Saccharomyces cerevisiae S288C: one gene and its partner. The gene in region 1 interacts genetically with each later gene. Each region holds a gene or a part of one and is shown on either strand. Other genes may lie near its edges.

Evidence for each region. Genes that interact genetically often act in the same process or in processes that back each other up.
Region 2: mutations in FRA1 (region 1) and RRD1 together harm fitness more than expected from each alone (negative genetic interaction), as found in Saccharomyces cerevisiae (2 studies listed by BioGRID).

The regions. Positions count from the first base shown.
Region 1 is NC_001144.5:79,680-84,817, reverse strand, and holds FRA1 (aminopeptidase P), read right to left. Parts: upstream 3,358-5,138; coding exon 1,108-3,357; downstream 1-1,107. Other genes in the region: polyamine transporter TPO1, read right to left, coding at 1-14; RRT7 (Rrt7p), read left to right, coding at 4,121-4,462; mannose-ethanolamine phosphotransferase GPI13, read left to right, coding at 4,613-5,138. UniProt on the Saccharomyces cerevisiae protein: Involved in the regulation of the iron regulon in responss to decreased mitochondrial iron-sulfur cluster synthesis.
Region 2 is NC_001141.2:53,433-56,879, forward strand, and holds RRD1 (peptidylprolyl isomerase RRD1), read left to right. Parts: upstream 1-1,765; coding exon 1,766-2,947; downstream 2,948-3,447. Other genes in the region: GUT2 (glycerol-3-phosphate dehydrogenase), read right to left, coding at 1-276; IMP21 (Imp21p), read right to left, coding at 549-1,589; VPR1 (Vpr1p), read left to right, coding at 3,113-3,447. UniProt on the Saccharomyces cerevisiae protein: PPIases accelerate the folding of proteins. It catalyzes the cis-trans isomerization of proline imidic peptide bonds in oligopeptides.

The DNA of each region.
Region 1 (5,138 bases):
GAATGATCCGACATTGTCTCTGTCTAGTTTTCTCTTGCTTCTTTGACTAAAAAAAAAAGTGACTGATAAAAGATCCAGAAATAAAGAGTTCCCGATATTTAGTATATGATCTCGTTGCAAGGGTGCGAAGAACCAATTTCAGATTATTGGATTTTTCTCTTCTATAGACCAAGATTATTTTTGAAAACTGGTGACTCAAGGCATACGAGCAGAAAGAAACATCAAGATCAAATGAGGTACCCTTTATATATAGAACACATTACTTGATAGTATATTCTGCACACATAAAAAAAAAAAAGAAAATGACAATGTTCAACGTTAAATTTTTCTTCCTTTTTCTTTAGGGAATTCCTACGATCGTTTCCTTTTAAAGTAAAACTCCCGATACGAAGATTTCTGTGTACCGACGGACGGAAATCTCGAATGGCTCTACTGTGAGACGGCTTCATAGCGACATAGACGGAAGGGTTTGCTTCCTTCCTTCCTTCCGCGTCCGCATCCGTTTCCGCATCCGCCTTCCGTATCCGCTTTTCGCTCGGTGCTTCTCTTTCCACGGAAAATCCTGCTCCTGCTCCATGGAACCAAAGCAACGGGGTCTGGCGGAACCTATAATCCGTTGTGACCGGGCCCGCATAAGGAATTCTCGGCTCTTAAAATAATCTATCCTGCGCAGAAAATACTGGCTGGCAAAAAAGAAATACTAAATCAGACTCCTTGTCTTTACGTTGGCTATGTAGTCCAAGCTTGGCAGTACTACTGGTGCCTGGTTATAAGATTGATTTTTGTGACTCTTGCGGAAAGGTTCGCCGAGCAGGGACCCTGGATGAAAAAATTTCTTGATGAGGCATCAGTATAAATCACTAGGGGGCTGTACATGCATGGTCGTTTAAAATCCGACTACGCACATTAACTCTTTTTGGCACTAAAAGCGCTCGGGGTTAAGTGTACCTACCCCTCTCCGGCCGTAAAAAAATGAAGGTAATGTTTTCAATTTTCACCTTTTAGTCATTATTGTTGTTATTGTTATCACTCAAATTAAATAAAAAGAAAGAAACTACTTAGAATAAATACTAACATTAATTGTATTGCGCCCCGCTCGCCTCGAAGTCATAGTGGGCTTGTTTCTCTTTTCAGCCACTTGTATGAAATACTCTGAGGCTGCAGAAAATGCACTATTGTCCTCCATACCCTTGCGTGGTACTCGTTAATCTGTGTTTTTTCTTCTTCGTTTAGTAACTTAGTATTGATCAACTTCCTGCAATAGGGAACCACAGTCATGTTTTCGAATTTCAAGAAGTTACCCTTCTCAGTGGCCTTCTTGATTAACATGTCGCTTTCAATCCTGATACCATACTCACCATCCTTATAATAACCTGGTTCGTTACTTATTATGTTACCCGCTCTTAAGGGGAAATTCATCAGATGTGGCCTAAAGCCGACACCCATGGGTCCTTCGTGAACGTTTAAAAATGATCCGATACCATGGCCTGTGCCATGTTTGTAATCTAACCCGCGGGACCATAAAAACTGCCTAGCGATGGCGTCGATATTAAACCCGGGAGTGTTTTCGGGAAAAATCAACCTCTCTAGGGCTAAGCCACCTTTAAGTACCAGTGTGTAATTATCCATTTCTTCTTTGGTTGGCTTTGTTAAGTGAATTGTTCTTGTTATATCAGTTGTACCCTCCAAGAATTGCGAACCGGAGTCGCAAAGATATATCTTGGTAGGATCAATCATCGAAGAGTTCTCTACGGGCGGCGAATAATGTATGATGGCGGCGTTACTACCTGTGGAGGATATTGTTTCGAAGGAATTGCCCATGAAGTTCCTTTGGGTTTTCCTAATCTCGGTCAATTTTTCTGCGGCACGATATTCATCTATCAGTGCCTCGCGCCCCACTAATTGCTGCTCCAGCCATGCAAAATACTGCACTAAACATACTGCGTCTTTGACCTGCGCCTTGTGTGCGTTTTTTATTTCGATGTCATTCTTGATAGATTTCAAAACATCGATGGGTGAGTGAATTATCGCAAAGTTTTGTGCAGTCATTTTTTTAGCTATTGCACCGTTAGCGTTGGTTGAGGTGTTCAAACAACGAACCATCTGCCACGATGCACTATCAGGAATCAAAAATTCATGCTCCGCAGAAGAAGCCTGCGAAGTTATCTTTGTTAAATGTTCCCATATCTGTTCGTAAGGTCTGACTTCAATACCGTTTATCTTAAAATATTCCGATATGTCATCATTGAAGGGGTTATTGGTGAAAAGAATGGTTTCGTCTTCGTTAATAGCCACGTAGGAGAAAAAAACTGGATTATAGTCAATGTCGGATCCACGCAAGTTCAACAACCAACAAATTTCATCCAACGCAACTACTATGAAAGTATTCCTACCGGTCGTCGCAGAGGAAGCCTTATCATTCAGCTTTTTCAGTAACTTTTCCTTCTTGTCTTTGAATTCTTCACCATGAAACTCGTATTTTAACAGTAGTAAATCGTTACAAGGCCTTTCAGGTAGAGTTTCAAAATCAGGCCAAATACTGTCAACTAAGTTTTCCTCCACGGGAACCAGCTCCACTTTACCCTTTGCGTCATATTTAGTGTCAATCATTTTTCTAAAAGAAACATAGTCGTTGAAAGTGATAAGTTTTGGGTCAATACCTATCTTCAACACCATTCCCTCTTTATTGCCAAGTCCCTTGGCCATTTCCAAAGCTTCTCTGACACACCATTCTTGCCAAGTGATTGGGTCTTCGTTTTGCCTCAAAAGTGTCCAATTATAATCTAGTTCTTGTCTAGCTTGATTGAAATATCTTCCATCAGTACTCAAAATGGATTTCCCATCCGGATGGTCATCGTTGAAATTTAACAAGTCTCTGGTGATACAGGCTACACCGGCCGATCCGGAAAACCCTGAAATGAAGGCGCGCCTTTGATCTCGCAATGATACATATTCGGACTGATGTTCGTCACAACTGGGCACAATATAACAACACAAATCGTGTTTCTTCATCTCCTGACGCAACTTCAACAATCTATCAGTAGTGTTAACTTCCCTGTTAACAGCGCATAGAGAGTCACATGAGTAAACAGACCCATTTCCAGCACTGCTACCTCCGCCAGCGCCCTTCAACTCGTTGAGAAGCATGCTGGAGGACCTCCTTGAATTTTCTAACTGTCTTAAAAATAGAGAGGCTCTACGACCTTGCCTAGACAGTAAGCCTGGAGAACACGTACAATCCGCACATGGCCTAAACGGTCTGGGGCTGTGTGATGCCGATGTTCCTCTCATGTGCGTGCCAGGTACATGGGAAATCGAGTGAGCCCTGCCGTCACTGGTGGATGGTTTCGAAGTCATATGAAGATTTTGTTTGTAATTATTGGTTTCGCTCTGTTGAGGTCTCCGTTTTTTTTTTATTCTTTTTTTTTTTAGCTATGCAGTCTTTTTGCCAGTGCTTCCTGCCTTTCCTGTATTTGTAAATATTGCACCTATTAAGACTAAACTGACTCAGTTTTTGTATGTCGCTTCCTTCTTGTTCCATCCCTCATTCGAAGTATTTCTGAAAAAAGAAAACGTAGAAGAAAATTCGGGAAAATGGGGTGCGATTTTTAGGGGTCACCCGGGGATATACCTTCGGGTAACACCAGAAGTCGTCAAAAACAAAACAAAATTAAACTAAACTCTGGCGGCTAAAAGATAATCATAATGCACATAGGGAAAGCTTTCTACCATATTTGAACACTTTAACGGTTAGTTGAAATAATAAGAAATAATTATATGTTTATTTTTACGTGGGTTATAAAGACGGGTAAATTATCTTCGTTATTACTCATGAAAACCTACAAGTAAGCGGCTCAATGGCATTTCGTGGCAGATAATCTTCAGCTATCATTATTATTTTTGAGAGGATGGTTTTTAGGAGCAGTTTGAGGAATAAACAAGAGCTTAATGTACCGTTATACATTTTTAAAAAGCTGTCTTTTTTATTGGGTTCACAGCTCTCATTTTTTTCCATGCAAAATCATTTTTTTAGCCGCCGATGCTTCAAAATGGGTTTAAGATATTTATTGTTTAAATGTTTCTGCATCTGGATTCACTGAAAAAAATTTAGACGCCTAACATGTATTTTGCATTTAAAGGATTATGCGGGAGAAGATTTCTGCCCATTGCCTCTTTTCTTACTATATTGAATAGAATATTATTCCAATACTGGCTTTTTTACAATTCATTAAAAGAGGAAAAGACATTTCAGAAAATTTTCTTCTCTATGAACCTTAAATGTAGGAAAAAAAAGGAACCAAACCACATCATTTACTCTCAACCGCCTTTCTTGTTGGGGTTCATGGTACAATTGCAAAGTTGTGTCAAGTTGTTGCCACTCTATCTTTTGTTTTTGTTACAGGGTAATGGCGCACATTATGCAAGCGCGATGACGAGCAAGGTACTTTCTTTTTTCCTTTAACATTTTGTTGTCCACCGGAAAATAAAAAAAAACAAATAAATGGGTAAGATCAAAAAAGGAATAGAAGCATATGTTTTAAGGGCAACGCCGAATCGTCAAAGAACGGGAGGAAGATCAATACATTAAGTGGAAAAAAAAAGCTCCCGTAATATGGATGAAAAGACAATTAAAAAGTCGATTCTTTCATCTTCCAATGATGAAAAAATAATATACAAATCGCGAATAAAGAAATTTCAAAAGAATCATAAATTTTATATTATTCTATTGGTTTTCATCGCCATTTTACAATTCATATCAATAGCTTTTTTCACTCGGGGATTCTTACTGTCAAGACACGTTCTTGATAATATTTCCTCACAAAACGAAACGAGTAAGTTACCTCCTAGGTTCAACAAGGCGGTGATTTTGGTTATTGACGCTTTGAGATTTGATTTCGCTATTCCTGTAAACGAATCCCACTCTAATTACAACTTGAACTATCATAATAATATATTATCATTGTATGATTCTTTTGCAAGCGATAAGGATGCATCTTCCCTATTGTTGAAGTTCATTGCCGACCCACCAACCACTACTTTACAAAGACTCAAGGGTCTCACAACAGGGTCCTTACCGACTTTCATTGATGCCGGGTCTAACTTCGATGGAACAGTAATCGAAGAGGATAACTTTCTTA
Region 2 (3,447 bases), on another chromosome or scaffold:
ATTGAGTCCCCTGGTCGCAGCATCTAGGGCACATCCTGTCCCCGTGGCCCCGCCACCGATGATCAACACGTCGAATTGATGCGTCTTGGCCAGACGGTCCAGCAGGTCTCGTCTAGAGACCTGCGGTGGAGCGGCGGTGGGGAATTGCACCATGTAGCTCGGGTCATTGTGCACTAACGGCCTATCACCTTGGCTAGTCATCCAGTACAGCGTCCCCGTGGCTGTGGCCATGGCAGCAGCTGCACCGGCAGCTCTTCTTCTCGTTACCGAAAACATATATTAGTACGTATTTAGTCTTGTAGCAGTGATGGCAATAGCACGGTCAAGATAAGGGAGGGAGAGTCCTTGCTTTAGACCAAAGTTCCCTATTTGTGGCTGTTCTCTTTTAAGTTTAAATACGATTTTTAGCGTGCGGGGTTGTGAAATTTCCCCTGCCAAAACTGAAATAAAGTTGGGTGGATAACGTATCGGAGCAGAGAAAAGACATAAGGTCTGTTGCTGTATATAAGTATGTGTTGCTAAAAAGGAATTAGTGCAGTGATTATTGGTCACTCGCTGATGCCCTTGCGCTTGGCACGTTTCAGCTTCTTTCTAACCGCGAGGATGGGCACAGAGCAGACGAAGTTCTGCAGAGTGGACAGGATGACCGAGAGGGAGCAGCACAGGGCGACTGGCTTGAGGCCGTGGATCATCTCGTTGAGGAGGTGTTTTGGGTACGGATGGGTCAAGGAGAGGACGACGACGTCGAGGTCGTCGAGCACGCCCGCGACGCAGTCAAACAGGTGCATGACGTGCTTTCTGATTCTGGCAACGTTGGCGAACATCTGGGAGTCGTCCGTGGGCTTCGAGGGCTCCCAGTGGACAATGTAGACGGTGTCTCCCTGGTTGACAGCTGCGCCCATGAGATAGGTCAGGGCGTAGGTGGACTCGCTGCTCAGGTCCGTGTAGAGGATGAAGGACCTTTGGTTCCCGGCCTCTGCGCCGGCACCCTTGGTGAGTAGTTGCATGGCTCTGACGTAGCCTCCGTCGAGTTGCTCCAGAGACACGTCTTCGTTTTCGTGGCCACGGATGCTGATCTCGTACTTGGCTATCCAGGGCTTGCTGGAGTCTAGCACTTCGTTTATGCTGGTACAAAAGTTGGGTAACACTTTCATGCCCAGATCGTAGTGGAACTCCTCGTCAATCTCTAAATCGTTCTCTATATCGCTCACTTGCTCTTCATCGGACTCTTCCTCGTCCATATCGTCGCCGTCGCCGTCGTCGTCATCTTCGTCGTTGCCCTCACCTTCCTCTTCAGAATCCACATCCACGACCCTCAACCGCATCGAGGGGTCCTGCCTCAACACGGTCCACTTGAGGAACTCTTCCTCCCTTACTCTGCTGCGGCTACTGGCCCTGCTTCTCGACCGCGACAGACTGCTCACGTTTGAGTCTCGTTCGCCTCTTTTCTTCTTGCTACGACCTCTTTCCCTGTGGCCCCTTTCCATCTGCTCCGAGTCGAACTCCACCGTGGTGGGCGTTTCCGTTTTGATGCTGTGTAGATTCGATTGTGTTCCGTCAGGTTTAGTCAGCAATATGCTCTTCTGCATTGCGTACTTGGTTGTTTCTCTTGTTGGTTCTTTTGGTACTCACCCTTTCCATAGTCTCTTGTGTTTGATCAAGCCTTTTTTCCGGACCTTTAAAGCTTTCTTAAAAAGATAAAATAGGAAGAAAGTGCAAAGTGCAAAAGAACGCACATATGAACAAGCATTAAACGAGCAAAGAAATGTCTCTGGATCGTGTAGATTGGCCGCACGCCACCTTCTCTACGCCGGTGAAGCGTATCTTCGATACGCAGACAACGCTGGACTTCCAATCGTCACTAGCCATTCACAGAATCAAGTATCATCTTCACAAGTACACTACGTTGATATCGCACTGTTCTGACCCCGACCCGCACGCTACTGCGTCGTCGATCGCCATGGTTAACGGGCTGATGGGAGTGTTGGACAAGCTGGCACACCTGATCGACGAGACACCGCCTCTTCCAGGTCCTAGAAGGTATGGTAACCTAGCATGCCGCGAGTGGCATCACAAGCTGGATGAACGTTTGCCTCAGTGGCTGCAGGAAATGCTTCCCTCGGAATACCATGAGGTGGTGCCTGAATTGCAGTATTACCTGGGCAACAGCTTTGGTTCGTCGACAAGATTGGACTACGGCACGGGCCACGAACTTTCGTTCATGGCCACGGTCGCAGCACTGGACATGCTGGGGATGTTTCCGCACATGAGGGGGGCAGACGTTTTTCTGCTGTTCAACAAGTACTACACGATCATGAGGAGGCTGATCCTGACGTATACGCTGGAGCCCGCTGGGTCACATGGCGTGTGGGGGCTTGATGACCATTTCCACTTGGTGTACATCTTGGGCTCGTCTCAATGGCAGCTGCTTGATGCGCAAGCACCCTTGCAACCAAGAGAAATACTGGATAAGTCTCTGGTGCGCGAGTATAAGGACACCAACTTCTACTGCCAAGGCATAAACTTTATTAATGAGGTGAAAATGGGGCCCTTTGAAGAGCATTCCCCCATCCTATACGATATTGCCGTCACCGTTCCACGCTGGTCCAAAGTGTGTAAGGGGCTTCTAAAAATGTATTCTGTAGAGGTTCTGAAGAAGTTCCCCGTGGTGCAACATTTCTGGTTCGGCACAGGCTTCTTTCCCTGGGTCAACATTCAAAACGGCACTGATCTTCCAGTCTTTGAAGAAAAGGAGGAAGAGAGTATAGAACAGGCTAACGCAGGATCGCCCGGTCGAGAACAGACTTCAACACGATTCCCAACGTCCACGTCAATGCCTCCCCCAGGCGTTCCGCCGTCAGGTAACAATATCAACTATTTACTAAGCCATCAAAACCAGTCGCACCGGAACCAGACTTCTTTTTCAAGAGATAGACTACGTAGATAATATTAATTAAACATATAAATGTGTATGACAAGCATTATGACTTCTATTTTCGTTCTTTTTTACTTGCGTCTACAATATATAAGCATATAATCAGATGAAAAAAGGAAAAGGAAGCGGTAATACAAATAAACAAAGAAGTGGAAAAAGTCGCCACAGTGTAAGCAAATGAGTCACAAGAGAAGGGGCCTGGTAATATATCAGGATCAGAAGCAGCAACAACAACACCCCCCGGGGCAGTCCCTAAGCTCTATATCCTGGTCTCCAACCAGGCGACCTCATCACCCTTTAAAACAACAAAGCACCAACAGTTTCTCAGAAATACTATCGAAATCAAGTGTGCAACCGAACGTGCAACATGACGGTAATCATATGCCCATTTCATTGCTAGTTCTGAAACAAGAACATCATAAGCAGCAGCAGCAGCAGCAGCAGCGCCAGAATATCCGATCACAAAACTCTACGCCTCCCCTGCGACAGTTGGTTCAGGAGTCGCAGTGGAC